Struthio camelus: one gene and its partners. The protein of the gene in region 3 purifies or fractionates together with the protein of the main gene of each other region. This does not show direct contact. Links are inferred from orthologs where the notes say so. Each region holds a gene or a part of one and is shown on either strand. Other genes may lie near its edges. The genes, in order: iron-sulfur cluster assembly 1 homolog, mitochondrial; AP4S1; TEPSIN.

Evidence for each region.
Region 1: the proteins of TEPSIN (region 3) and iron-sulfur cluster assembly 1 homolog, mitochondrial purify together in Homo sapiens (co-immunoprecipitation; 3 studies listed by BioGRID and IntAct, with this or other methods). This does not show direct contact. The link is inferred for Struthio camelus from reciprocal best matches to the Homo sapiens genes TEPSIN and ISCA1.
Region 2: the proteins of TEPSIN (region 3) and AP4S1 purify together in Homo sapiens (co-immunoprecipitation; 3 studies listed by BioGRID and IntAct, with this or other methods). This does not show direct contact. The link is inferred for Struthio camelus from reciprocal best matches to the Homo sapiens genes TEPSIN and AP4S1.

Annotation. Positions count from the first base shown.
Region 1 is NC_090981.1:14,445,046-14,455,076, reverse strand, and holds the start of iron-sulfur cluster assembly 1 homolog, mitochondrial, read right to left. Parts: upstream 3,869-10,031; 5' UTR 3,696-3,868; coding exon 3,615-3,695; intron 2,187-3,614; coding exon 2,133-2,186; intron 188-2,132; coding exon 82-187; intron 1-81. Other genes in the region: terminal uridylyltransferase 7, read right to left, coding at 9,949-10,031. UniProt on the Homo sapiens protein: Involved in the maturation of mitochondrial 4Fe-4S proteins functioning late in the iron-sulfur cluster assembly pathway. Probably involved in the binding of an intermediate of Fe/S cluster assembly.
Region 2 is NC_090946.1:53,284,548-53,294,106, forward strand, and holds the start of AP4S1 (AP-4 complex subunit sigma-1), read left to right. Parts: upstream 1-4,966; 5' UTR 4,967-5,095; intron 5,096-5,270; coding exon of another isoform or gene 5,271-5,591; exon of another isoform or gene 5,592-5,806; intron 5,807-5,826; exon of another isoform or gene 5,827-5,952; intron 5,953-9,559. Other genes in the region: STRN3 (striatin-3), read right to left, coding at 5,271-5,591. UniProt on the Homo sapiens protein: Component of the adaptor protein complex 4 (AP-4). Adaptor protein complexes are vesicle coat components involved both in vesicle formation and cargo selection. They control the vesicular transport of proteins in different trafficking pathways.
Region 3 is NC_090960.1:1,482,485-1,492,649, forward strand, and holds the start of TEPSIN (AP-4 complex accessory subunit tepsin), read right to left. Parts: upstream 4,180-10,165; 5' UTR 4,109-4,179; coding exon 4,067-4,108; intron 3,728-4,066; coding exon 3,655-3,727; intron 3,394-3,654; coding exon 3,302-3,393; intron 3,139-3,301; coding exon 3,045-3,138; intron 2,813-3,044; coding exon 2,745-2,812; intron 2,591-2,744; coding exon 2,512-2,590; intron 2,355-2,511; coding exon 2,283-2,354; intron 1,697-2,282; coding exon 1,490-1,696; intron 904-1,489; coding exon 729-903; intron 653-728; coding exon of another isoform or gene 539-652; intron 313-538; coding exon 199-312; intron 1-198. Other genes in the region: SLC38A10 (solute carrier family 38 member 10), read right to left, coding at 9,237-10,165. UniProt on the Homo sapiens protein: Associates with the adapter-like complex 4 (AP-4) and may therefore play a role in vesicular trafficking of proteins at the trans-Golgi network.

The DNA of each region.
Region 1 (10,031 bases), on a different chromosome or scaffold from region 3:
AACCTGTCCCTTGGCAAACTTATAATTAAGTTATTCTTCCCCACCACCACACAGCTTTGCTTTACTGCGTCAGAAACTCACCATCTTGAACTACTTCTTCATCAGAGTCTCCTTTTGATTTTGTATATTCTAATGTGTAAGAAAGTCCATTGCATCCTCTTGTACGAACACCTACTTTCACACCTACCTGAAATAAAACATTAATGATGTTTTAAACATCTTCTGGAACACCAAGATAAAAAGCATGCATAACAACAAAATGCTGATATTTATTCTTCCCTGTCTCAAACCCAATGCTAAAACAGAAGCTTAATGGATTAGAAGGTAACATTTTTCTCTTTTACAAACTAACTATCAAGGTAAAAGTTAGAACACAAATCATAAATATTTATTACTCATTTTATAACTCTCATCTGGGTTGGTATTGGCAAAAATCTGGCTCTTCATTCCATGCTACATTTGTTCTATTTTATTGCACATTTTATGTGAAAGTGACAGTACTGCAAGAATACATCAGTTGAGTCTACGGTTATACTTGTCATTACCACTTCTGCTGTTGATTATTAATCATTTTATTTATACTAGCAATAAGTCACACATCAGATGTTTGCTATTGTGGACAAAGCCCTAAAGCGTGCTAAACAAAAAAACCCCTACCATTTTAAAGTAATAAACTATCAGCACTTCTGTAGGTGCTCAATGTCATAAAAGTCAGAGTTAAATTTCAAAGACAGAGATTTCTGTGACTTCTAATGAAAGTTTATTAGTTCAGGCACTATTTTAAGATTATTGACAGTAACTTAATTACGAAGTTGTGATGCCAAGCCAAGGGCTGTTACTAGATTTTCATGGAACTCCTATAATGGCTACCAGAAAACTTTCACTTCAATCCAAAGTTTTGAAAAAATTACTTTGTTTGTGATCTTCATTACTTAAAATCAATCCTGTCTCTCCTTTTTGGCAAGTACGTCTATTCATTTATTGTAGTAATCAACGTTAAAGGCCAACCTAGTCAATATGGATAATTGCAAATAATTAAAACAACATGATGTTGTATGTCAGACAAAAAGAACATCTATATAAGTAAGGAGCTGAGAAATGGTTGTAGGGACACACGAACCAGAAAACTAAATCTTCCAAAAGTATCTGTACCTCTGTTCAAACATGTATGCTTCACTACATAATTAGAGAGAAAAAGTACAGTAACCTCTGTAAAAGTGTTATGATAAAAACGTATCCATAGTTGTCATCAAGTGGGATCTCAGACAAACAGCATTTGTTCTTTTCAGATTAAATACCCTTCTCTACAAGGACAGCTAGAAATAATAGGTTAGAAAAAAAAAAAAAAAAAAGAACACCAGTTACAACAAGGGGATGACTAACCAGCTAAGCTGTAGGCTTAAGGCTTCCTTAGGATGGTTTAAAATGTTAAAAAGAGTCTAATTAGTTGCAATCATGCAGGAAGGAAAAGAAACAATAGGTATTTGTACAAAGTTAAAAAAGAAACAACCTTCCTGAAATAGTACTTGCTGTGAAGAAGAAAACCCAACGCTTGTTTTTATGATGTTTAGGAAGGAAGACTGTATGTGTTTTTCCCAAGAAGAAAAAATGACAAGTTCAATCAGTTACTTGGTGAAAAGTGAATTATTATTTACAAAAATATGTTGTCTGGCAAGGTTCATAAGAATTACACCTTTTTTCAATGGGTATGAATCTATCATTATAATTACCTATTTCAGAGCCAGAATTCCTTCGAGAACTTGATTAACAACATCTTCAAATCAACAGTTGGAGATCCTCCAGCCCTACCAGAAGTCACCACCTATGCCATGCTAGAATAGTTACCTAAAAACTAGATTAGAAACATTTTGAAGTTTTAATTATTTTTTCCAATTTTATCTATTTCAAAAGTAACTACAGTGAAATATCATTCATTTTCTGGATTTCATTTTTAAATAGAACTAAAGCTTGATAGATAAATAAGCTGATACATTGCCCTCCAAAAAAGGCATCAACATTTCTAAGGTGTTCAATATTTATTTCAAGCTACTAGGTTAGCCAGAAACGCTTCATAATCATCAACAGTGCTAATACCTTAATACAATCTACAAGATGGCCCCGTTTGCACTTACATGCTCAGGTTTATCTTTAAGAAGTTGTTTTATCTTCTGAATAGCTGATGGAGTCTGAAAAACAGAAATATATTCATCAGTTTGAAACTTTTTTTGTTTTTTTTAAATAATAGACCTAAGTATATTACACATGCCGTAATACACGCAAGTCACATACTGCAAATAAAGCAAAAAAAATTTAATTCCAACTTAATGCAATCAAATTTTATCTTAGTTTACAGTTAAGTTTTGTCTCCTGTCTGCAAAGTCCACTTACAGAACCAACCATCTGTCACTGCAGACTAGTCCTTGCTCTACTTGAAACTGATGCCTGATCTCAAGTTAACCTACTCTTCTGTAAAAAGTAATAGTTGAATCTAATCTGTGCAGAATACAATAACTGTTTACTCCCCTCCCCACCCCTGCTGGCAGCAGATAGTTCAAGAACATCAGTCCTTATTATTTTTTTTCTTTTTGAAAAAGTACTACTATGATTCAATTAAGTAGTTCTGTTCTAGCCAAATTTCTGTCACATAAACATTTCTGTGCCATGCTGATTTTTGTCTGTAACGTATATCTCCTTCCCCTCTCTTCCCATTGACTTAGAGGTGAGCTGTGACTTTACGGAAGATAAACTCATACATAGTTCATGTAGATCCGGTTGTCGCAGAAGTGCAAGACGACATACACAAAGTATACATAAATGTTTCCCTTACACACAAGTTCCCAAGCTACTGAGAACTTTAACTAGATTTGCCTTTCTAATTAACAGTATTAACGTTCGACTGCTACAGAATCACTAGCGTACAGGAACGACCCACCCAGACAAATTACTGAACTAGACATGCTTAGTCTGCCCCCGGTAATGCAGAGTACTTTACCTCTCTCTGCAGTAAGCCCTCCCGACTGTACTGCCTCCGCAACACTACCACAACTAGCAAATGCCCTTCATCAAATAATAGAGGGATATGGAACGTCCTTGGGAACAAGTTTCTGCAGATACTGAATTTCTATTCTATTACGAAAAAATACACCTCTTACGGTGACTGCGCAAAAAGCCACCGCACGTGAGGCTCGCCCCAGTGCTTCCTCCTCTTCCGCTGCCTGCACAGACGCGGGTGAAGACCTGCAGGAACCACCTACCCCGCGGCAGCGCCAATGCTCCAGCGAGCTCTCGAGCCCTTCCACTCCCTAGCAGCCTACCTCTACCCCCTCGCAGCCCCGCCGGGCTAACGGTGCTCGCCACCGCACCTCAGCCGCGCTCCCCCCGCCGTCCCGTCACGGCCTCGCTCGCCGCCCGGCTATAGGCAGGCGGCGCCACCGGCCAGACACAGGCCGCCCGCTGCCCCCAGCGCCCCGGAGGCGACGCAGCACCGCCCAGGGTCGGCGGGCGCCCAGCCCGGGGAAGGCCCCCCGGGCCCGTGGCGCAGTTCTAGCGCCCACTACTCGGAGGCGAAGGGAGAGGTCAGAAGGGCCCGGGCCCGCACTCGCCGCCGCACTGACCAGGGTGAGGGCGGCACGGGTGGCCTGGATCTTCCTCTTGCTCACGGCGCGCACCGTGGCCCGCACCACCAACGAGGCCATGGCCCCCTCCCCTTTGCTATAGGCACAGCCGACGCGACGCCGTGACGCCACAGCACACGACGCGCTCCCTCCGCCCGTCCCTATTGGACAGCAGCGTGTGATTGGCAGCAACCGCTGGACCCGCCTCCCTGCCCCGCCGCCGGGCGTGTGGTTGCCTGCTGACCCCAGGCCCGCCAGCAGGACCGAGCCCCTGGCAGCGGTAGCCGCTCGCTGAAGGGTCCGGCCCCGCAGAGCAATTAACGTGCAGCAGAATCACTCTTAGCGCATAGCCAAGGGAGCCGGGCCGGGCGGCGCCCTGCCAGAAGCCCCAGGGGTAGGCGGCCTTGAGGCAGCGTAGAACCTGCCACTACCGCGCCAGCCGTTAACAGCCCGCTGCCGCGAGGCAGGTCACTTTCCGTTTCAAACAGCGCTCGACCGTTGCGCACGGGAGGGGAGGGAGGAGTGAGGGCTGCTTGCAAAGATAAGGGCAGGAGGGGGAAACCGTCACGCCTCCACCTGAAAGCCCTGGCAGATAATTGCCCTTTGGCTTTACGGGAACAGCATCAGGCACCAGTTTCTAACCCTATTCCAATCCCATCCCCCCCAAGCTCCCACTAAAATCGCGTTAGTAATCCTAAATCTATAGTCCCTGTCTAGAGAAGAGAAATGTCATCAAAGAACACAAACATTTATTAAAGGTAACAGACAAACACGTTAAAGCAGCATAGCATAAGGCTATTCAGTTTTAAGGGTTAGAACCTGAGGCAAAACCCTTACGCTTCAGACAAACTGTTCAGTAAAATATGTAAGAATAGGAAACTAACCTGTATGACAGGTTACAGTTGATGGATCACACCTGGATAATGAATGCACATACATGCATACACAGTAACGTTTTTCCTTGGTCTGTTCTCTTCCCCTTCAAACTACCTCTTTTGCTCCCCTTCTGGATTTTCGCCCAGCAGCGGCTCTCTGAGCAGGCACTCTTTTCACCTCTCATGTATAAGGTGCATAGCAGGGGCATGTCAGTCAGACCTGAAGGATGCTGAAAGGGACTGTTATCTGCTGCTGGTCCCACACTGCTCACACCAGCCCTGTGGAGATGCACTGTGATAACTTCCAGATACCCAGGAGGGACAGCGAGAGCCTTGGCACAGGAAGAGTAATCCCATACTTAAGCTAGATGGCTATGGTGGCAGGAAAAAAAAATGCCCATTTTCCATTTCCTCTGGCAGCATGCCACTGCTCTTTATGACTGAGGCATCATACTTCTACATCAAATATAAAATCAAGATAGTAAATATTTTAAAAAGTTACATTCTCTTTAGCTACACAAAGTATATGCAAATTGTACACACATTCTCATCTAAAACACCCTACTTCAGGGGGGAGGGCTTGAACCAACTATCAGCCTGAAGCTGATGTCAATAAAAATAATGCAACTAACACTTTATTCATGATTCAGTCTACCAGGTAGGTCTAAAGAACTTTACCTTCTTGTATTTACTTAGGATGCTTCCAATTATTACTCTTTAGTCACTTTTCTGTTGAATGGCTCTCAGCATAAAAATGCTGAACATGGACTACAAAAATAGCTTTAAAAAAAAGTGTTTTTCATCTTTAGTACGTTACTAAAAGAAGATAAAGGTTAAAAAAACAATATTAACACCTAAATAGTTCAAGTGAATAACACAAAAGATTGTTAACTTCATCACTACAGAAAAAAATATTTTCTTTGCTAGCAAGCACCCATTCTACATAATCATTTATTGCCCAGAAGTTCCTAGCAAAGATTACTTTTGATGCAGCTTCTGCAGTTCTTATAAAAATTTGATCAGGTTTATAAAACAAGTTCTTGTTAAAGACATTTAAGTAAAGTTTTAATAATGACAAACTTTTTTAATATCTCTACAAAACAAATATCATCAGAAGAGTGAAATCAGAAGAGCTGGATTTGTGGTCTTTAAGATATGAAAATGGTAGCTTTTTAAAAGGAAGTAAGAATTAAAATAATCTAGTAGTTATCTAGCTTTCTAACTAAGATTAAATTGCTAGGATAGGTAAACTAGATAGTTGACCTTGGTTTCATCTTAAGTAACAATAGCTATTACTGAAGCATAGTCAAAAGACACCTCAAATCTTATCTTGATAATACATCAACAAATTAAAAGCAAGAGGTAAATACTTTAACTGTTAAATCTTCACTGTTATACAAAAACATTCACATTACTGCAAATGAGAATGCAGATAGGTTCGTTATTTGGTCCTCATTAGTCTCCAGATTAAAAACCAGAGAGCATAAACCAAGGAGAAAAGGTAGAAGAAATAGGTATTGCACTGAAAATTTCATATTCCAGAACATCAAGACCTCAGTTTCCTCTTCATCTCTGCTAGTGAAAGATTGGCAAGCTTGAAGCTAGAAAGATGGTTAACTGTGCTGCATACCTGAAACATAGAAGTACTTCCCCCTTTGTTCAGCACTGATAACTACTCATAGCACAAGAAACATATACTGACTTTGGAAAAAGAGACATCAAGAGCATGAGGAATTGCTATGAAACAATACAATAACAAATAAAAAAATACACACAAATGAACAGTACTATCAGCTCACTTGCTCACTGTCCCACTGTATTATCTGAGGGACAGTATAGGCGTAGTATAGATCTTTCTGCAGCCTCCTAAAGGCTGAAGGGCTCCTAAAAATAAGCACAAATGTTCCAGAAAGACTCTTCCAAAGATTAATGCATTGCAGTAAATTGAGTGAAGATGCAGGGGCTTCTATGGCTAGGCCATCTGACTTCCCTAAACATAACAACTTTCCAGAAGATAACAAAAGGGAAGTAGTAAGTTAGAAATTTCTAATCGATTAAAAGAGACATAGTGATGCTACAGAATTATGAGCATCTCGGAATTAAACATGAATGCTAAAGACATGCTAGCTACTTAGTGGATACTAAATGTCTGTTCTAGCCCCAGGAGTGTTTATTACTGAAATTTGTTGGAGGGCAACATTAAGAGCAATTCTGTTCAACAGAAAGTGTTTGCTTTTTGATTTTCTAAACTATTAGTCATAGCTTAACTATAAACTATTAGAATCAGTTTATTACTATTAGTTTTGATATTGTTTTTTCTAGAAAAATTGTTTTAATACAGTAGTGTCTTTTCAGATTTTTTTTTTTAAATGTGGAAAGTTGCTCCCTTGAGAATATACTCATGTGAAGCAAGCAGAATCTTGAATGTTATGAAGAATTAACCCACTTTTCTACTTAAATTTTCAACCCCTTTCCTAAGATTCTACAATAAACTAAGCTTTAATAATCAACCCAGCAGATTATGTCTCATCAATACTGTGTTTATTCTGTGTTATGGATCATCCTATTATAAGTTATCACTACATTATTTAAATAGCATTTAGGCAGACAAATGCATTTGTTAGTTACTGGTTTAAGACTTTTATATAAAACTCAAGCGTGTGGGATTTATTTTAGGACCGAGATAGTAACAATATAAAACTTGTAGTTGCATAAGGAAGCAGCAGCTCCAAAGTGAGAGGACTGGGAACCTGCAGAATTAGTTTTCATCCAAATGTTGGTTCAGAAATTTCATAGTTGAAAGCTTCACAGTTAAACCACAAAATGACACAAATGGAAGAGGGTATGTGTAAATCTGATTTTTGTTGTTAAGACATGTTTTCCATCTTTACATGCTATGATGCTGTTGTCCCTTACAGGTTTATACCCGTATATCTGTTATCAGCAAAAACTGAAGATAAATCTGAATAGAGAGCTAATTAAGTCATTGCATACACAAGGCATATCAGCAGCTACATAATTTGGTTATGAATAAAAGTACAACAACTTATTTTTGAGGGGGAAAATTTACTTATTTTGTCTGAAAAAATATGCTATAGAAGAAAGCTGAAAGTTTGTTTGTTGGTGGCTAAGATTTTGCTCGAAAATATGGTGAGAAAGAAGACAAGAATTTTTTTTTTTTTTTTTTTTAAAAAAGGAAAGCTGCACATCTAGAAATTTATAGATGGATGAAACCCAAAATAGGAGTTTGGATCCCAGTACCCTAAGGCCTCTTTGGAAATTCCAGCTTTTACCTTTATTAGAAACAGACAGTTAAGGAGAGAAAAAACTAAACAAACAAAACACATTAAACAGGACACATCTTAAAGAGCAGAGATAATTCTAATAAGTTATAATTATTTCTGCATTTAATTCAAAAATACTGCAAATTAAGTGTAGTGTAAGAAGAAACTTAAACTTGTCTGAATTTTGATTTTTTTAATTTCAAAATCATAAACAGTGGTTTCCATTTTACCATGTAAATAATTATTTCCTGAACAGGATAAGATGGTACATTACCAGTTATGGAAGAATTTCAAGTAAGGTTCAAGTTGATAACATTAATTATTGGCTGGTAGAAGGATTCTCTTCACATTTTATGAAAATGGAAATGCGTTTTCCACAATTGCCAAATAATATATATATATATTTTAAATCCTTAAAGCAATTTTGTCTACATCTTCAAGGCCATGAAAAAAGATTTTTTAGCAGCAAACAGGACTGATCTGTCTTAGTCTTTTTTTTCTCCCTGTATGCAAGTGCAGCAATAAATGAACTCTCATAAAGTCACAGAAGCGGGAGGGAACTCAACAGCACTGTTTGCCCACAGAGATTTTTTTTTTTTTTTTTTTTAAATACATAAGTTTACTAATGTCCATGTTTTCAGTTCTCTACAGAAAAAAGTTCGCAAACACAGCTGTAGCAGTCTACAAACATTTCAAACACATTTACACAAGGATTCAGTAAACAATCAACATTAATAAATACTATTTCCTCCTTCAAAAAATCAATTCTTGAAGAAAATAGATCATTTATTTGGCTTGCACACAATTTTAGTGCATTTTGAAAGGATCAGGTTGAACAATAAAACCTTGAAAATGGTCCATTTTTAGTACCTGCCCTTATCTACATGTTTTACCTAGTAAACAAATACAAAACATCATGGCTTTTATTAAAACGCTCAAACAATCTATTCAAGAGCAGGGGTCCATGGTAGGAGACAATATTAAAATCCATAGTTTTTTGGACTAGCAATCTAAAATAAAATACCCATGTCTCTTTAAACTTTAGTTGAGGATAGTTTATGCTGCTGTCCTGTGAATCCAGATGCTTTAGCCAAAGGAGAGAGAAGGGAGGGAAGCTTTTAAATGAACGAACAGCCTGCATTGCAATTTAACAGTGCTTCATATCCCTCATGATTCTTGCTGGGCCCTCTTCTGTGAGGTTTTCCGAGTTATGTATTTATTGGAAAGGCTGCCTAAGATTGGGGGGGAGGGGGGAAGCATTAAACTTTAAAAGTTAAGAAAAACAAACAAACATAAAATAACTGAAACATTCAAACATCAGTCAGGAGAAAAAAAACTGTTGAACTATGATAAAAACAAACACAAGTCAACTTAATATTATTAGCTGCTAATGGACAGCAGGGAATATTAAAATATAAAGATGATAATTTTTATAACTAAATCCTAATGACAAATCACTGTGTAAAAAGCCCAACCTTAAGTCTTGAGAAGTAGTGAAAATAGAAAATACTCCAAAATTGAGAATTTAATTTGAGACACTTGATTGCAGTTTAGTTTTCAGAAGTTTGTGAACACTGTTTATTTAATTCCCCCTTTAGATGCCCCAAATGAGAGCTATGTGAAGGTTTGCAGAGTTGCATTCAAGACTCAAGGTAATTAAAAAAGCAGTTTTAAAAAATCTTCATTGTACCATTAAATGAGTTAAGTGTGTAAAATTATTGTAAGCAAGCTGCAGTTGCAACCATACATCTAACAATACACACATCTCTGATCCAGAGACAGCACATAAAAGCCTTTGTCATGATCTGACTGTTGCTTGCCAGTATAATTAACTTTTGTGCATGCTGGCAGCTCAGACAAAGGATGTGCTTCCATAGACTAAAGTTAGCTATCACGTGGAATTTTAGATGATTATTCTGAGGAAGCCCCACAAGAAAGTGCTCCACATGTGGTCCCTGAAGAGAAACACAGAACCCCATATATGCCAAAACAGGAAGGATAAGAGAGAAATGGATAAAACCCAATACATCAATCTGCAAAATAAATCTATTGGAGCTCACTAAAGAACAAATTACAGAGAAAACTGGCATGCCTTACAAGTTTCACTTCCAAAACAAAACCAAAAAAACCTGTACACTTTTTCAGTTAGAAAAAATGGCTTCACTTCAGAATTACCTAGCAACCTATCTGGACTGCTGCTGTGTTCAACATATTGGGCAGAGTTCCCATAGGGATTGATGGGGAAAGCAAGAGACATG
Region 2 (9,559 bases), on a different chromosome or scaffold from region 3:
AAATACACTGTGCATTCCACAACTATAACATGCACATTTCCTACCTGTAGGCTTTGTACAATCTCTCACAATTAATCTCTGCTATCAACTAAGTTTTGTTATCTAAACAAAACAGTATCAAAGCAGCGCTGCACGTATATTTTAAAATAGTAAAACTAAAGCATTTCAGAGCTACTTTATTGGCCATGAAAATTTAAGAATAGCTGTGCCTGGTCAGCCCAACAGATCACCTACCTCAGTGTCCCGCTTCTAACCACGTACAAACAAGCAGATCCTAGGGTACAACGTAGAAGCAGAAGCAACCTCAAAATACCTTTGTAACCTTCAAAGACTTGTAAACCAAAAGCATCCTGAGTCAGAGGTAGCGGCTGAATTCAGAAGCCCTAATGGGCTTTTCTTCTATGAACTCATCCAAACACTTTTCGACCCAACAAGCTGCTAGCAACTACAATATCCCCCTTGCACAGAATTCCATTAACTCCAAAAAGCTGTTCGTTTGAAAATACTGTTAATTTTACTTCATGCTTCCTAGCTCAACTGAGACACAGCGATCCTACATTCATCACTTAACTAAACAGTGACCACCCTGCAACCCTTACTACTTCCTTCACATCTGATCTAGCATTAGAAAAGCTATTTACTTGCCACAAGCAAGGAGAAGAAGTCTTTGCTATTAGACAAATTGTTCCTCCAACTTCGAAAAAAATTCTCAACACTATTTCCCCTGCTCATATCTGCAATAAACCAAAACACAGAGCCACTTATTTCAGCAACTGGTTATTGCTACGCTTTGTACACGTTGAAACCTACTGCTACTGGACTGCTTATCTACACTCTGAACATGGTCTCATCCAGTTCACTATATGTGCACGTTTACATATATTTACATATTTACCATTCATGTAAAGTGCCTAACTGAGCAATTTCTAAATTCTAATCACCTCTAATCTAAAAGACCCTCCAGGAAGACAAACATCTGTAAATTGTTGGGGGGGGGGGGGGGAAACACAGCTAGCAAAAGAAATTGCCTATTACTAGCATGTAATTCTGCAGTATTTACTAGGGTCCCAAAGTCCACAAAGTTCCTATAACGAGCTGCTTCCCTCTGCCTCACAAAGAAGATTCCAAATAAAATTTAGAGTTTTGCTGTTGTCTTTTTAAAATTTTTTTCAACACCAATGTACAGAACACAAAATGACAGGCAACAAAGGTAACAAATTGTTCCCATAATGTTACAGAATAGCTAGGAAAAAAACATTTATAAAAATCAGATAAATTACGAACTGAATATGACCCTGAAAGTGTCATTTCATATGATGGAAAACAGACTAACAAGCTGATTAATCCTTATGTAAATTTGAGTTCTCTAGTAGGATGTATACTGTTTAATCATACAGCCGTATATACATTGTTCAAAGTATTTCTGTTTCTTAATTATTCTTCCTACTTATTAGAACATTCAGATATTGCATCTACTGTTAAGTTTCTCTCCGTATATTCTTCTGCGATTTTAAAATATCAGGGAGTATTCAACTTTTGTTTTTATCTACTTCAGAAGGCATGAAAAAACTGCACTATTTTAATCATATAATTGGGACTTTGATTCTTGCAAAGCATATCAATCTATAAGCCCGAAAAGAGATTGGAATCCTATTGACTTTCCTAGGTACCCAGCAAGTTGCACGATCTTCAGTTTTCTTTTCTTCCCCCACCATGGAACCCCTCCTTAACACAGCTTTATCTTCCTTCTCTGAGGGCTTCTGTATGTGCCTGTCCAAAGCGTTTCCCCAATCATATATCTTTTATGAGATTACCGAGGCACTTACCCCCCCCCAAAAGGAAACAATTGTTTCCATCAAATATGTAACATCCAGCAACATGGGCTTGCTATACCTCCTCTATAGTGCAAAAACATCTTAGCTAGCTCACAGGGACTGAATATATTTCAGTGTAATAGCTACCAACATCAAGGTCATTATACGGACAGATCAAAACTACAGCTGTAATTACACACTATTTGTTACAGTGAGAATCATTCTTTTAGTTCACAGAAGAGAAAACAAATCCAGCCTATAACTCTGAAAGATCTACACACTGAGTACAGGCAAATTAGTTCCTTCACACACAGCAGGGAGAAAATTTTAAAAAAAAAAGTTACTGTGGCAGCCAGTATTAAAAATGATGAAAAAAAGATGCTATGTTTTAAGTACTGCACTCCGATATTCAACATTTCTGTACTCGACTCTACACACACAGGTTTGACAACTATGCCACTTCACTTGTGCATACATGGAGCTGAATAGTTTGAAAAGACAGCACAAAGTTATTAACTTTTTAGAGTCAGAGTCTTTCACTGACATGAATGTGGTGACTTAAGTCACCTAGCACAGGACTGCTTCAAAACCAAATAGTTGAGACCAATCATTATGATTGTGGTATAAGTAGCTTGTAATTTAAATTAATTATAAAAATTTGTCCCATGCACAGGTAGAACAACTGAGCAAAGTGTTCAATATCATTATATGATCTGAAAAAGTATAAGCTGTTACTACAGGACACCCCCCACCTTCTCTAGCATGTGAAGGGCACTCTCACCAGGGGTCAACAATTCTCTGAGGCACTTTAAGTACACAGGAGAAAGGAAAGGAGAAAAAAAAAACATATGGGGGGAATCACTCAACAGTGATATTAGTTTCATACTGCAGATAAGAAAGCATCTTATTCTTCCAGAGAGTAACAACCAAAAATTCAACCCTCTGAATAGGTCAATAAAATCACAAGGTACTGCTGTCACTTCGTTTTCCATATACCTTTTGTAAAGCATCATTTGCAAACTTATTGAGTTAACTTAGGTTGGAAGAAACCTGTAATTACCTGCACTAAAAAAGACTGTTTAGAAAGCTTATTGTAATGTTGAAAAACGGAAGAAGTTACATGCATGGATGAGACTTGCAACCTTGTTTCCTTTCAACCCAGGAGGCCTCAAATCCTCTAAAAACTCTTACATCTACTTAGGATCACACAGATGAACAACAGTCTCAGCAGTTTCAACAGGCAATAGTTTGGGGTCTAAAACGTTAAGGCTTTATTAGCTACAGAATTATTTGTTTATTAGTTTATTAGTCACAGAATGAACTGTGACTTCACAGCTTGAGAGTACAAGAGGAAAAAGAGGGGAAGAAGAACAAAGCAGGCCTGTCGAACACATCTCTTTCAAAAATATTGTCAACGCATTTCTGTAACAGTTATCATCACCATACACGTTGACATTTAAAATCCAATAGCAATGCCCCCTACATTTCTATCCCGGGCTTGCCATGTTATAAAAAAAGACACCCTCATACATATACACGGCAGTGATATGCCTGTTGCATCCCATGACTTGATGCACACATGAAATAGAGTGACTCAACACATACATAGCCAGGGTCAGAACTACCATAGTACATCCAGAAATAACATGCAAGTAACAGAAACAGTATGACCACGGATGACAAACAATTACAAGCAAAAGCAGGAGACTTAGCAAGAACACATCATAGTGTCCAGAGGCCAAAAGCAGCACTTTTCAGTTGGATACAGGTTTCAAGGTCTTAGAACTGAGCTTTACATTTAGAGCTCAGAATGAGGTATTAGTTTCAAAATAACAAGTCTATGCATAAATATTCTCAGATTATTTTCTTTGCTAATGCATGCCCACTAGGCAACTTATTTATAAACGCAGTCCTATACTGCTGAGAAAACAAGAGAAATAGCCAACTGTTCCCTACTGAAAATGCCCACGAATATGCACCAAACTGATTTTAGAAACAATCGTGTCACAAAGCTTAAAATAGTAAGACCTGCAGTAAGTTAAGTAAATAGTGAAGTCCTCTCATTTTTCACTTTTTTGGGGGCTTCTTTCTTAATTATAGCTTTAATAAAAACACTGCAAATTACAGAGGTTAGAAGTCCTGAAAGAACTGCCCAGGCTCAAGTATAGTTCTAGTTTCTGAAATCTGAAAGTATATCCCACCACAAAAGTTGATTGCTGTTGCAACATGCTATTAATTACAGTGCACTTTGATGGAATGCTGCTTCAACACAGTAAACATTCACTCAATACATACATCACAAAAAATGATTTGAAAGTAATAAACTTTGATTTTTTTAGGGCAAAGCCACAGACAATGATAGTCAACAATAATGTCTCATCCATTCATTCATATATGGATACCTCCAATTCAGTAGATTTTGTAATTTGTATATAAATGTGACAGTCTATGCAGTTTTATTTTTATGTGCAAAAAGCAATTAGTTGAGGTACCCTTTCTATCACTCAAAGCAAACACCATTTGCAAGTGATCTACACTGGAAATCAAACGCTTTCTCTGTCTCCTACAGGGTTGTTCAATTTCTGTTCCTAACGTTAAGTCTGTGCTGTTATGTGTATTAAAACCATCGTGCTCCAGACCTACCAACTCCTCACTGCTCTTCAGCAGTTGTTTCTCTGATGTGAAATCTCTCAAGAAGCGAGAAAGGAAGAGACGGGACACGTTCAACCTGCCCCAGACCTCGACGCCTGGGAAACCCCTTTACGTGAGATTTACCTGAATACCCTTTCCTAGCCTTCAGCCTCCTCGGGCAGCAGGTACTCTTCACAACCCCCTCTCCCCACACAGCAACGCTCGCTGAGCTCCAGGGAGGCTTCAGCCTTCCCAGGCCCGGAGGCTCTTGCTCTCCGTACGCGGCACCCAGGGCTGCGGAGGCCGCCGGCCCGCAGGGCCCCGAGTCATTGTGCTCGGGGAGCTGACCGCAGCTGTCAAGGGGCACCTCGCTCTGCCCCGGGCGGCCGGGCAGCAGGGGCAGCAGGCCGGCGCCCAGGCAGCGGCCGCCCGCCCGCCCGCCGCTCGGCGCCCTGCGGGCCCCGCCAGGCGAGCGCGGGCGAGGCCTGGCGAGCAGGGGCTGCCTCGGCAGCCCGGAGCCCAGGCGGGCGCCATGCTAAAAACCAAAATGGCTGCCCCAGGGAAAGGAGCCCAGCTCAGGCCGTGAGGGGCTGCGCCTCCGCCAGCCCGGCCGACCGGCAACGCCGCTTCGCCCGCCGCACCTCGCCCAGGTACCGCCGCCGAGCCGCAGGGCCGCTCTGACGGCCGGCTCGGCCTCCGGGCCCCGACAGGCTCCGCTTCCCCGCGCGGCTCTGCTCCCGCACCCGAACCGCGGCCCGGCCCCCCGCGCCGGTCCCAGCCCGCGCCTCGCTCCCTCCCCGCGGAGCCCGCCCTCGTCCCCCGTACCTGAAGCTCGGCCCGCTCCACCTCCCAGTGCGCCCTCTCCATCTCGAAGCGGGCCCACTCGTGCTGGATGTAGTGCAGGATCCCCGGGATGGTGTAGTGCTGGGGCCGGGACAGCTCGGCGGGGCCCGCCGCCTCCTGGCCGGCCGGGGCCGCCGGGCCCTGCGGTTGCTGCTGCTGCCCTCCTCCTCCGCCGGCCCCGGCCCCCACGCAGCCCCCACCCGACTGCAGGTTCATGTTCCCAGCCGTCTGCGGCGGCGGCTGCTGCGGTCTCGGGGCGGCCGACATCCCACCGCCTCCTCCGGCTCCGGGGTGCTCGTCCATTGTCTGCGGGGAGCCCTCCTCCTCGTCCCGCGGCGGGGGCCTGGAGCAGGGGCCAGGGAGGGGGGTGAGCGGAGCTGGCTGGGGCGGGGAGGAGGGGGGGGTGGGTCGGGACGGGAGTGGGGAAGGGGGGGGGGGCCTGCGCCGAGCAGTATCCGGATGTCAGAGCCGCGCCGAGCTGCCGCCAGCCGCCATTACAGCCTCCGAGCCATCGGCCCACCCACCCGCGGCCGGGGGGGGGGGGAGCGGGGCGGCGCGGCGCGCGCGGGATGCCGGGAAAAACCGCTTCCCTCGCTCCCCCGTCTTCCCTCTCCCGGCCGGGCACGGCCGTTGCGGTGCGCGTGCGCATGCGCCTGCCAGCGAGGTAAGCGCCGTGCCCGAGGGGCGGGGGAGCGCGCTGAGGTGGGAGCGGGCGGGCGGCGGCGCTGCTGGCGCCGCTCCCCTCGGAGGGCGCGGAGGCGGTTCCTGCCTCTCGCTCCGCACCCGGGGACAGATCGCGCTCTGGGTTTAGGCGGTGGCACGCTACCAAGGGGTAGTCACTCGGGCAATGGCCCTCGTTTCCCTCCTGTCTCCCCTCCGGCCGCCGCGGGGCGCCGTGTGCCGCCCCGCCCAGCGCGGCCCGAGTTAAGATGGTGGCCGGGCTGGCGGCCGCCGCGCCGCGGGGAGGCGGCGGGGGGCGGCAGCGCCGCCGCTCTTCGCTTTTCTCGCTGTCCGTCAGGCAGCAACGGCGGCACTGGGCTTGCGGGAAGGCTACCGAGGTCACGATGGCCGAAGTTTCGGCAATAACGTGGTGCCGGGATACAGCCCGCGAAGTTTTAAAAGCTCCGTTCTCTGGGAGTTTACAAAGTAATTAGAAGAGTTGGTGGAAATAGTTCTAGCTTTGGCCATTAGCTGTGCTGTGGGCCTTAGCTCATCGTTTTCCTTTTATAAGAAATAAAGCTGGGTGCGTTAGGCCAAAGATGCCGTGTTGTTTTTCTAAAGGGGTGTTTAGGGGCAGCCCCCGGCCTGAGGGGCCGGCGGTGCGGGCAAGGGCGCTGCTTCGCTGTTTAAACTGATGTGCAGAAAAACAGATGAGAAGTCGCAGAGTTTAAGTCCTTAAAATTCGGTGTAGTTTAATGGTACATTTAATTTACCTCACAAGTAGGGAACTTTAGAATGCTTTTCTTAAATGCATGGTATGTCTGGGGAAGTTGCCTGATCATTTTTAATGAATGGTCATTTTTGGAGTATGTCACTGAAGGGTAAGGGACTTCTGTAACGTTTTCCTGTGTCCCTTGATGGGAAGGGGCAGTCCGTGTCTCCTCTCCTTTCTTTTTCTCCCAGTCTTTTCCACACGAGGGAGATTTTTCAGGGCATTACTGATTTGTTTCATCTGGTTAGTTTTATCTGTGATAGCAAATGCTCCATTTATTGCTGTAGTATGGATAAGGTCAAATTATCCCAGTTACAAATTATTGCTGTGAAATGCAGCATTTATAAATTATCATCACATCCTATTTGAAACGACTTGCAGATCACCCATTTTAAGTAAGATGGATTTTCTTTTGCCTCTCTTGCAAATGTCTGCGTACTGTACTCATTCAGTAAGAATATGGGTAGTTTCCTAAAGAAGGCTTGCTCCAGATAGATCTGGAATTGTGTTAATTACTAAAAAATAGCTACTACTTGTCTCATTCGGTACTGGTGTTTCTCCACTCATCTCTCCTCAGGTACATAATGATATTTCAGTTGTTTTACCCATTCCTATCTGTCTTCTGCACTGAATCATTTCCTACTAAAATTTAATCCTGCGGGCTTCCTGATTCCATGCAGATTAGCCTATCTAAATCCGAGTCGTTTCAACATCAGCAGATTTTTTTCATTGTCCAATGAACAGTATTGAATCATTACCAAAAACGAATACTAACCTCTCAACAAATTTAGCCTTTTTTCAATTACTGTCTTAAGACGCTCCCTGTTCCTGAACATAGAGGAGTTACTGCAATTTCATTTTGTTACCGTATTCAGCCAGGATTTTGACAACTAAGCAGCAAAGGAAAACTTTTTTACTCTTTCCTTCCTCCCTGACTTCCCTAGCATAATAAGGTTACTTTTTTTAAATGTCTGATCCTGGAGCTGAACACAGTGATTTCTTTTAAAGCAGCATAGACAAAGGTGTTTCATCTTTAGATGAACTGTATTTTGTACAGTAACAAGATCTACCATATAAAAACAAGTACTGTTACTGATAAGTAGTAATAACTGTATATGACCGTTATTAAAGCCTTGTCCATGGTGAGAACAACAATAGGAAGGATAAGGGTGTTGATTACATGAGCGGTCTTCATTTGCTACTTACCTTTTCACAATAAGTGCATAGCCAGATAGTTTAATAGACTAATGTGTATGTCAAAAATACTTGTTCCCATGCTGTCGCCTGCTTGTGCCCCTACCAGTTAGGCCTTTTTCTCTCTCTTCACTTCTCTTGACAGTTTAACTCATTTTGTTCTACAGATAGTACATGCAAATTAAGACACATCTCTGCATCCAGAAAACCAGTGCAATGTTCATTTATACCCTTGTGTTGAGTTGAACGGTGCAGTAAGTTACAGGCTTACAGTTCTATCTAACATTCAGTTTTAACTCTTGGCAAAGCAGATTTTTAAAAAGCAGTTGTGCATTTATTGTTTTTCAGATATAATCTCTTACTTACATTTTAAGTTAGATCCCTGAATTGTTGCAAAACTTTGTGATAGCAGTACAGTAGACAGAAATCCAATTTGAGTGACAGCTGTAATGCCAGATGTAAGTCTCAAACTCAGGTTGTGTGTTTTTTGTTTTTTGTAATATATCTATCAGAGTATGTATGAATATTGGAGGAATCTCTTGACAAAATAAGTTAATGATGTCAAGTGTTTGCATCTACTGGAAGAGTACTTAAAATTATGTTTTCCTGGATTTACTGCATGTGGAATTTGCTAGGTTGGCCACCCTGGAGATTTAAGGCTTCCCTTTTATCTACAGAACAGGTATTGCAGGCTGTGCCTCTCCAAAAGGTTTCAGCCACTGCCTTCAGATACTGGTTTAGAGGTGTGACTCACAAACAGACAACTTTCATTGAGGTATCTCATGAGCTTACTACATGCCTACAGAGCTGGCTTGTCCTGGAAGCCGTGTTCCTGAACCATCCGTTTCTCGTCATTCTGCAGAAAACCAAACAGGTTTGATTGTCTTAAATAAAAGGTTGCCTTGAAATACAAGGCTGTTAGATAACTGTTTCACACACACCTTAGCTATCTGTTCAGGCAGGGGAGGATGAGCCTGCTTGGGGGCACTAAAATCAAAAGGCATATCTCTTCATGAGCCGAGGTCCTTAGTCTTCAGCCTGTCTGCTTGCTGGTTTAGAGTGAGTTAAAGCCATTGTATTGTAATTCATCAAAGATTGCGCAGTCTATCAGTCTACAACTGTGAATCACACAAGCCAATCATGGTACCAGTTTCTCTCATAGCTATTTATCTGCAAGAGACACTTTAAAGAGGGTAAAATCTTAAACACAGTATGACAAGATATGTTTAAATTACAGTAGTTGCGCTGTAGTAGATAATTATGCCCAATTATGCTTACAGAAGAGATTTCTTGCAAAGGAAGTGGAGAGCCACGCAGTCATTCGGGAAGGTAATTTGTTCTGAGGGAAAGTTTGCAATTTTAAGACATTTTTATGTCTTTTGCTGATGCCCCGTTCTCTACGTATACTTTTTTTTTTTTGAGGCTTTTGGTTTTTGCTTCTCAGGAGTCTTCATGTTGTCGTACGGTTTTGTAGGTATTTCGCAGATGGAGGAAGAATGCTGTAGGCTATTCTGGACAAAATTTCTAATGCATGGTTGCCTGTGATTGGGAGAGCTGGACTTGACAGTCCATCAGGATCTGGATAGTCCCTTCTAGTCCTCTGTTCCTAAGCCCATTTGTGATGCAGATAGTTGTCCACTGACCT
Region 3 (10,165 bases):
AGCCCCAGGAGCCGGCGTGGAGCAAGTACCTCTCCTGCCCAGGAGCGTTTCAGCCCCAGAGCTCAGGGCCAAGGCAGCCAGGAGGGTGAGAAGGGACCACACTGATCTCTGCTGCCAACACAGCACCCCCTGCCTGGCCCCAGGGCACCAGCACCACAGCACCCCTGCTCCCAGGGAGGGGACGCGTCGGGAACTTACTCTTTGACAAAGTGCTGCACCTCGTCCCTGGTCAGGAAGACCCTGGCGCCCCGAGTCAGCGCCGTCACCAGGCTCACCTCCCGCAGGCAGTCGCCCAGGCTGTCAGCGTCCACCCTGCACCAGGAGAGGGTTCAAACGTCTTGGCACGGGCAGGAGCCAGCCCTGCTCCCTCCTGGGGGGCTGCCCCAGAGTGGGCTCTGGCAGGATGCATGCCCCTGGGAGCTCCACACTCCGGCTCTCCCCAGCTCAGACCCCAAATTCCTTCTGTGGGCTCACCTGCTGCCCTCCTGCCTTGCAGGGAGTCCTTGCCAAGGCAGACTCCCTGCCCCAACTGCCTCACCTGCCCGGCCAAAGGCTGCCCTGCCTGGGAGGCAGAACACTCCAGGAGGAACACAGGTTGGCAGCTTCAGGGCACTCCAGATTAACAGTGTTGAAAGACAGGGCACAATGATGCCTGGGCATAGGGAGATGAGGAAACCATCTCAGAAGGACTCAGGGGAGTGGGAGCTCACCATGCCCCCCATTCTCACCTCTCAGCCACATTCACCAGCTCCCGACTGGCCCCAGAGTGGCTGTCGCTGCCTGACTTGCTGTAGGAGTCCGAGGTGCGGCTCAGCTCACCGTTCTCCTGCGAGGAGTCCTGGGAGCTGTGCCCGCTGTCCGTCTCTTCCCAGCCGCCGGCGGCCAGCCCTGGCTGGTGACTCACTGCAGGGAAAGGAGCAGTGAACCCTGGAGCTGGGGCCTCGCTGCTCCTGCCTGCTCCAGCAGTCAGGACAAGACCGCGATGGCTGCAGCCCCATGCTGGCAGGCAGCCTCGCCTCACACCAGAGCTGGCTGCACTTCAGTGCCATGTCAGACATTTCCAGGAGTCTCTGAATCGTGCTGGGAGCTCAGGAAAAGAACTGCTTGGCTGTGTTGTCACAGAGCCACGGAGCAGCTGAGGGACAGCATCTTGCTGCCAAATCAGAGCCAACCTCCAGCGTGCCCTGAAATTGCATGACGGCTGTCTCCACAAACAATTGGACCAAGTGATTTGGGGATGTTCCCAAACCCTTGTCCACAAGCTAGGGCACCAGCCAGTTCAGCTTCATTGCAGCACAACCCTGTGCCACCTACGGAGGACAAGGGACCAGCCAGGAGCAGGTTTCCCTCCAGGATCCATCACTGATGCACCAGTCCCAGGAGCCCAAACCAGCCCTTGCAGGGCCTCCACCCCAGTCCCTTGGTGGGAACCCTGCTGGTCTTCCCCGCAGTCAACGGCCATGCCAGCCCGTGCAGGAGGGTGACGTACCTCGGATGCTGTGTGCTGCTGCGGCTGCTGGTGGTTTTGCAGACTCTGCCGCCCTCCTCCTGGGAGGGGGTGCCGACACGGGCTGGTAGGCATCTTCGTGGAGCTCCCTGCAGCGAAGCCGGGGCCCCTCCTGGGAGGGAAGCACAGCGTTGGCCACTGCTTCGGCCGCTCGCTGGATGGTGCTGAGCAGGACTTCACCTGTGGAAGCTGGGCAAAGGCCAGAGCATGAGGCGCTTCCCAGGGGAGCCCATCCCAGGCCCCGGGCACCGAGCCCAGGCACCCATCGTCCTTCAGGACATTGCAAGGGAACCAAGGGGAGAGGCTGACAGAGAGGAACAGCCCTGGCAGCCGGACAAGGTGGGCAAGGGCGCTGTGCAAGGAGTGACCAGATCTGTCCCCCACGGTGCAGCTCACCCTCAGCAGGGATTTGGGTGGAGGGGAAGGTGTCCCCAGCTCTGGGGAATGAAAGAGGAGGTCCCATTGCTGCCTCCTCTCCAGCTGGCTGGAGCACAGAGGCAGCTCCCCAGAGAGCTACTGGGAAAAGGCATCAGCCTCCCACATCCCCGTCACCTCTCCCAGCAGGGAAGGGCCCCGCAGAGCCCTCCGCTGCCAACCGCACGACAGCGCTGCCAGCCCCAGCGCTCACTAGGTGGCTTGAAAAAGGGGAGAGCTACATGAAGCAAAAATAGGGGGCCAGGGCTTCACAGACACGCGAGCACGGCTGACCCAGCGCAGCACAAGGACGCACGGGGCGAGCGGACAGCACCAAGGTAAGGCTGCAGCTGGAACTTACTGGAGCTGCTTTTCTCACTGCTGAAGCCGAATCCTTGCAAGGAGCTGCAGGGGCTCGATTTGGAGCCCATCCCTGGGGGAGGCACAAAGCATGTTCAGAGAACACAGGTGTTTGTTCTCCACTGTTGTTCCTCTCCCTTGCACACACACAGCTCCATCAATGGGGACCAGCTCAGCACCTCCAGCACAGCCCGCAGAGGGAGATGGGCCTGCAAGGGGCTGGCACTTACCTACAGGAGGCAGGGGGCGGGCAGGCAGCGTAGCGGGCTGGGGGAGCAGAGCATCAGAAAAGAGAACGCTGGCCAAATCCTGCGGGGAGAGGCGGAAGAGCGGGCGGAGAGAGCTGTAGGAGCGGCAGCCACCCTGGCCTGGCCCGAGCCGGGGAGCAGGGAGCCAGAGCTGCCCCATTGCTCTGGGCCCCACTTAGTCCCCTGGGCACGGAGGAACGGGGGCAGGCACTCACCTGCGCAGCCGCCCGGACCTTCTGGTTCAAGCTGTTGCCATGCAGAGGATCTGGGGGCCCGGCGAACACTGCAAGGCACAGGGCAGGAGGGTTGGGGGGCGCTCAGCTCCCAGGCACAGGCAGGTTGGGGCAGGAACGCAGGAACTCAGACACCCCGTGCCAGGCTCCGCAGCCTCTGGGGCCGCCCCGCAGGCGGGAGTCGCTCTGGGCTCCCAACCCAGCCTGGCTGCGGTTTCTAGCATCACGCCGGGCCGTTCCCCGCTCCCCTGCCCTCAGCTCCTCTGCTCCTCGCCACGTTACCTGCTGCCTCCCGGATGAAGGTGGCATTCCTCTTCAGCTGCAGGACGAACTGGGGGGAGCCCTGAGCGCACGTGTGCAGCAGGATCTTCAGCACCTGCGGACACAGGTCTCAGGGGAAGAAGGCTGAGCCGCAGCCGCCCGCCAGCCCATCGCCCTGGCGGTGCCAGCCCAGCCCCAGGGCCCCTTCGCAGCCAGGGCAGCCACACAGCAGCTGGGGGAGCCCCGTGGCGGCCAGCCCACACTCAGCCCCTGCTCACCTTCAGCTTGACGTGGCAGGAATTGCTCTGCAGCCGGTTGAGCAGATACTCCAGGAGGCACTGGCTGCTGCCGGGGGACTCGCGGGAGATCTCTGCAGCGCAGCGTTAAGGAATCTGCTTCCGCTGCTCCCGGGCCGCGCCGGCGACCGCGGGCTGGAGGGAACCGGGGCAGCCACCTCGTCGCGTTGCTCACGCGCCTCGCCCTGCTCCCAGCCCCAAGGGCCCTCGGCGCCAGCTCGGGCACGCTGTCCCGGCCCCGCCGCCCTCCCCGCGCCGCCCGCCCAGCTCAGCCCCCGCAGCGCCCCGGTGCCGCCGCCTGCCCGGGCCGGGCCAGCAGCGAGCCGGAAGGATACTGGCGATCTCCTCGAGCAGGTAGCCGGGGCAGGGCGCGTCGTCGTCCGCGGTGCCCTTGAGCAGCGCGGGCAGCTGCAAGAGGGACGGCGTGAGTGGCGCGGGGCGACCCCGCACCAGGGCCCGACCCCGGCCCGGGCCTGCCCCGGCCGGGCTGGGGAAACCCTTCGTGGAAGTCCCGCGTAGTGACGCCATGCCGCCTTAATGACGTCACAGCCCCTCCCCAGTGACATCACACCGCTCAGTTATGACATCAGAGTAGAAGGGCAGGGAAGGGGCTGCACCATCACACCAAGGGAGCCCGGCTTTGACACCAGGCCAAGGTGGGGGTGGTAGTGACATCATGGCTGGCAGAGTGACGTCACGCCCGCAGGCAGCCCTCCCTCTTCCCGCCCGGCCCGGCCCGGCCCGTACCCGGCTCAGGAAACTCAGCCGGTCCCGCAGCGGCACCGCCATGACGCTCCCAGTGCCCGTCCCTGCCCGACCCGACCACAACCTCCAGGCTCCGCCCCCCCGGAAGACGCCACTCGCCAATGAGGGCGCGAGGGGCCCTGGCTCAGCCAGTCAGCGGGGAGGGAGGGCGGAGCTCCAGGCGGAAGCGTCCCACGAGACTGACGCCGCCAGCGACGGGGCGAGAGAGGGGAAGTAAACAACCGGCATCTCAGCCAATGAGAACTGCCTGCTGAGGAAGAGCGACCAATCAGATGGGGCCAGTGGGCGGGTACTACTCGTAGCCAATCCACGATTTCAGAAGGCCAGTCAAGCCAATCCGAGAAGGCCGAGGGCACGACCTAACGTCGGAGCCAATCAGAGGGCAGTTCTTTGATGGACGGATAGCCTGCCCTATCAACGCGTCCCCGCTGGGCGGGCGGTCGCCAACATCCAATGCGAGAGTCGCCGGCCCTTTGACGAGCGGAGGGAGCGGCCAATGGGGACCTGCGCCATCATGGCGGCGCCCAGGGCGTGAGGCTGCGGCGGCGATGTCGGGCCAGGACGTCTGGCTGCGGGCGCGGGCGCGGCTGCGGCGCTTCCCCGAGCTGCTCGCGGGCTGCGGGGCGCAGGTAGGGCCGCGGGGCCCCGCCCGCCCGGTCCGTCCCGCTGCCGGTTCCCCCCGCCCGGCACCCCAGGCGGTCCCGGTCCGTCCCGTTGGCCTGTCCCCCCCACCCCCCGGTCAGTCCGGTTATAGTTCCCCGCCCCGCGCCGTCCCGGTTCTTCTCGCTCCGTCCCGCTCGCGTCCCCTCCCCCGTCACCCCCGGTCCGTCCCGCTCGCGTCCCCCCCCCCCAATCACCCCCCGGTCCGTCCCACTCGCGTCCCCCCCGGTCCGTCCTGCTCGCGTCCCCCCCCGCCCGTCCCCCCCGGTCCGTCCCACTCGCGTCCCCTCCCCATCACCCCCGGTCCGTCCTGCTCGCGTTCCCCCCCCCCCCCGTCACCCCCGGTCCATCCCGCTCGCGTTCCCCCCCCGCCCCATCACCCCCGGTCCGTCCCGCTCGTGTCCCCCCCCCCCGTCCCCCCCCCCGTCACCCCCGGTCCATCCCGCTCGCGTTCCCCCCCCGCCCCATCACCCCCGGTCCGTCCCGCTCGTGTCCCCCCCCCACCCGTCCCCCCCCCCGTCACCCCCGGTCCGTCCTGCTCGTGTCCCCCCCCGCCCGTCTCCCCCGCCCCGTCCCTCCCTGCCCGGTTCCGTGCTCCTTCCCCGCAGGCAGCCGCCTACGGCCGGTGCGTGGCCGCGGCGGCGGCCGGCAGCAGGGAGCTGCGGCGGGACGCCTGCGCCGAGGAGTTCCGGGCGCTCCAGGACTGCTTCGCCCGGGCGGTAGGTGCCCAGCGCCAGCTCGCTCCGCTCTGCGGCCCCGAGGAGGGGGAAGAGAGTTTGGGGTCTCAGCAGCCCCCTCTCCCTCGAGCGCGGCTGCAGGCTGGAGCCGCAGCGAGGAGGGACGCGGGCCGGCAGCGCTGCCCCTCAGCCCCGTCGCGGTCGCTTCTCTTCGCAGGCGAAGACGGCGGTGAAGTGACGCAGCGGTCCGGCGTGCGGCCTGGAGCACACCGGCGGGGCCGCCCGAGTCGCTGCGGGCGAAGGAAAGGGAAGCGCTGGGTGGTATTTCACGTAACGCTTCTCCTATGTACACCCGTTTCTCAAACGCTGCATGTAAATAAATGTTTGGGAAAATATTTTTAAAATAAAACTCCAAAACGTGAGTCAGTTTGTCCTTAAGTTACAAAATAAACAGCAAATGAGAACCATCAGCAGCTTGTGGAAAACCAAGCTACCGTCCGGCAAGTAGCTGTTCCCTTTCTGTTTGCTGCCGTACACTCGGACAATGCTCAAACTACTCTATTGTTAGAACAAGTCTCTGGCATCTGCCTGCCCTGGGGCTGCTGGAGTCCACTTCCCCTTCCCCTGAGCAGCCAGAACTGCCAGGTTTAGAGGAAATGCAGAATAGCCACTGGAGAGACAGCCCTGGCTTGTAGAGCAGAGATCAAAATCCCGTCCAGGCCCCAGCCTGGAAAGAGCAGGCCTACAGACACTTACGCTAAGCCAAAGGAGAACTCCTTTCACTTTAGATCTACGCTTCACAGAGACCTTTCCTTCTCCTTTCTAATCCTCTTTTTCTCCAGTCTGGAGTCCCAGATTCAGGCCTGTTTCCCAGCTGCATATGAGCTCCAGCTTTGCTAAAGAGCAAAGCTTCCTATAACAAGAAGTTATAGGTTCAAGGTCCCAGGCTCTGCGCAGGCTCTGTTTGAGCTGGTCACCGTTTTGTGAGTCAGAAACCAGCATTTAGGGCTGCAAGACCTCCAAGCTCGTAGTTCTGGGTTAAGATAACAGCTGGCGGTCCAAGGCGCAGCACGCTTAGGGAAGGAAGCCAGCAGATCCTGCAGCCAGTTTTTGAATACTCGAGCTCTAATAGCAGCAATGCTGCAGTTGCTTGATCCCGTGAACTTCAAATTAGACAGATTTCTCCTCCCAAAGACAGGTCCTGTGTTTGTGAGGGGCGGGAGGAGGATCACATTCTCACCACCCTAGTCCACAGCAGCAGGGAAGGGTGGAGCAGAGAGAGGTTCAAAGAAAGCAGAAAGCACAAAGCTTTTTTTTTTTTTTTCCTTAGGCAAAGTAACTCCCTGCAGGTACAGAGCACAGCAGACTCCTCTCCCTGCCAGGGGGGCCACAGCCCCGTGGCTGAGTAGGGCTCACAGATTGCTTTTTTAAAACAAAGAAGAATTCAGATAAAAATGCTTCAGCTTATTTTATTGATCTACACAGCTCAGTCTCCCCTCCAGTCTCTCCCGCCAAGCGCTCCACACCCAGTACAAACAGTTCCTGGCACAGAGAGGCAACGCAGCTCCCTGCCTCCTTCCAGCTGAGGTGGGGGATGCCCAGAATCCATGGCCGTTTTCTGTTCCGTTTGCTGAGGAACGTCAGAAGCATCTTTGGTCCTTCGTGTTCATGCAGGTGACTCAATGCCAATGAACGTCACTGCTACAGGCACGTCCTGATGCCACAGGGCAAGGAGCCTGTCCTCACCCTGCCGTGCAGACATGGGATGTATGGGAGAGCCCAGGACAGACCCTGGTACCCAGCAAAGTGCAAGAAGGGAGGGGGATCCAGCTCCTCCTCCAGCTCCCTTTTACTTTATAAAGGCTCATTAGTGCAGCACAGGGGACAGAGCATGAACCAGCCTCCCCAGTGCAGACTTAACGCTAAGAAATGTGATCAGCAGTCTATTGCCTTACCTGCACCTGACAAACGCTAGCACAGGACACCTACAGCGGTCCTTCTGCCACGTGCAGTTCAAGGATTCCCAACCATGTTGTGCTTTAAGACAGCGTAATGGAGGAGCTCACTTGTACTATGGAGGAAGTCCTGAGGGTTAAGGCTATGTCAGTCACATCTGAGACACACGTGGAAGTAACGCAGTTGGTCCTCATGAAGCAGTTCGGCTGAATCCGTGGCTGTTGCCCTGTGGCTCTGTGTCACTTTAATTGGAGATTAAGATAACATCCTTCAAACAACAGGCACACGTTCCAGAAACATCGCAGTCTCCAACTGCTGGAGCAGACAAATAGGAACAAAGTACCCAAGACCGAAGGCAGAGCCTTCCCCGTGGTATTTACCAGAACCAGCGCAACAGTTCCACGTGCTTGATAACGACCCATCCCCGGCTCTGAGAAATCCCGTCGGATACGAACGCAGAGAGGCTAGTTTACCAAAGACACTTGAGATACAGATATAAAAACCACCACAGTGATGAGGTCTGTAGACTCCAGGCTGGGAAATTTCAGCCGTTCTAGTGAGAGCTTTGGGATTTGATTTCTTACATTCGCAAGTCAGGATTTAAAAAAAAAAAAAAAAAAGAAAAAAGAAAGGAGGGATGAATCACTGTCTGGGAGCCTGAAACAAACCAGAACTCTTAGAGAAGCTTTTCCCTTTCTTGCTCATAAAACACGTTACCGGGGCGGAGTACTGACATTACTTGGATGGATGTAAAACACATTGTCGAATGGGCTGTGAAGAACACACAACAAACACTCCATCAAGTTACAGAGAGAAGAGGTAGGTATGCTTGAGCCAAGCCCCCAAGAACACTCTTTTAAGCCGCTTTTTTCTGCTCCCAAATGTTAGTCGCTTCTTGCAGAAAGTCAAGCTGATTTGGGGGACAGTCTGCAGCCCCCAGGTTGAGCTTCATAATGCACTTTGGACAGGAGAAGTCAAGCTTAAAAGCACAGAAGAGAGTGTGAGCATCCGGAGAGGGTGGAGAGAGCAAAGCTCTTTGTTATTGCTAGTGTGTGGCCAATCAATTAAATCCCTGGGAGTAGAGGCAGCACAACAGCAGCAGTTGTGCCTGTTTAAGGCAGCATTTTCTACTAAACTAGGTTCCTAAACCACAACTATCCCCTAAACATGCAAGACTAACAGCTCCCATTTCAAAAGAAATACCAAAGCAATTGGCTAAAGCCAGCCCTAAATCCAATCTGAATCGATGCATCTCCAAAGCAGAATAAAATCTTTCAAGAGGAGATGTGCATCTCTCCTTGGTTCCCCCTCCCTCCCGCCTGCAATCCCAGACCTCTGCTCCAAAGCCCAAAGCACGCTGGGCTAAGCAACCCAACATACTCGCTAGAGAAGCCTTTCCAAATCAGGTGGGTGAACTGCATGGAGAACTGCCTCAGCCCTGAAAGGGGAAATGAGAGCCAGATGGAGAAGGCAATCCGATATGAACAAGACGTTGAAAAGGTACTTGAAAGCTGGCCTGGCAGGGAACCAAGTTAGATGGCAACCTCTGAAAGCCAGAGGACAGTGGGAGATTTTCTTTCAAGGTTGCCATCTCCTTGGCCACCTCTAGGCACACACAAGGTGTTTCCCTTGCAGAGACTGGAGAAGCCCACAGTCCCCTGGACAGTATTCACAAGTCCAAGGAGATCTCGTGGATCCAAGCACTGCATCCAACAACGTGCTGCTGGTTTAGACTGACCGTTGTCTGAGCAACGCTGGCCAAAAAAGCAGCTGGTTAACTTGAACCTTCCCTACTGAGCCCATCAGCATCGTGCCTGCGGCCAACACCCTCAGCCACCCACTGAGCGCGATCACCCCACTCACATGCTCCCGTCTGCCTGTGTCATCTGTTTGATCTGCCGGCTGTGGACCACCTGCTGAGCTCCCTCTGCAACTTGGTTTAATCGTGTCTCTAGAGCGCTCCGGAGATCATTTACTTTCACATCTGGAAGGGGGTTCAGGCCAATGAAGACCCCCGCCCCCTGTGCAGCTTCCTCCTCTTCGGGAGGAAGCAGGTCCCGTCTCCTCCGGCGGAGGTCCAGGTCTGCCTGCAGTTTCAGGTCCCGGTTCGGTTTGATATCGTGGTCCAGCTTCTGGTCCCCATGGGCAGCCACTCCTTTCTCGGGCTTTTGGGCAGCAGTGTCCTCAGTGTCTGGCTTCCTCTCAGCCTCATTTGAGAGGCTCCCATCCGCATGCCTCTGCTTGCTCAGGAGACTTCCCTGAGGGTCCTGGACCATGTCCACCACGTTCTCCCGAGGAGCTTCTTTCTTTACCTCCACTTTGCTAGCCAGGTCCCTCTGCAAGGCCTGCTGCAGTTTGCCATTAGCACCCTCACCCCCCTCAGTATCTGCAGCTCTCTGAGGCTCCCGTACATGCTGCTCACTCCCTGCCACGTTCAGTTTACTTGAGGAGGCCGGCGCAAGTGCCAGGTCTTTGGGCTCCACCTGACTCAGTGCTTTGGCTTTAAGGTCTGTTCCCAAGTCTCTTTCCAGACTCTTTCCTACTACTCCCTGAACTTTGGCAGCCCCTAACTGTTCTCTTTGGATGCGAGCTGTAGCTACTTCCACAGCTTTCAGGGAATTCTTCTCATGGACATCTCTTCCAGCTTTGGCTTCGTGACCTCCTAAATTCTCTGCCAACGGCTTCTTTTCTAGGTGGTTTCTGGCTGCTGGAACATGTTGGGCATCACCGGGAAGGGGATCCCTGTTGTCTGCAGCTTTTTTAACAGCTCTGTCTATCTCCTCTTGTG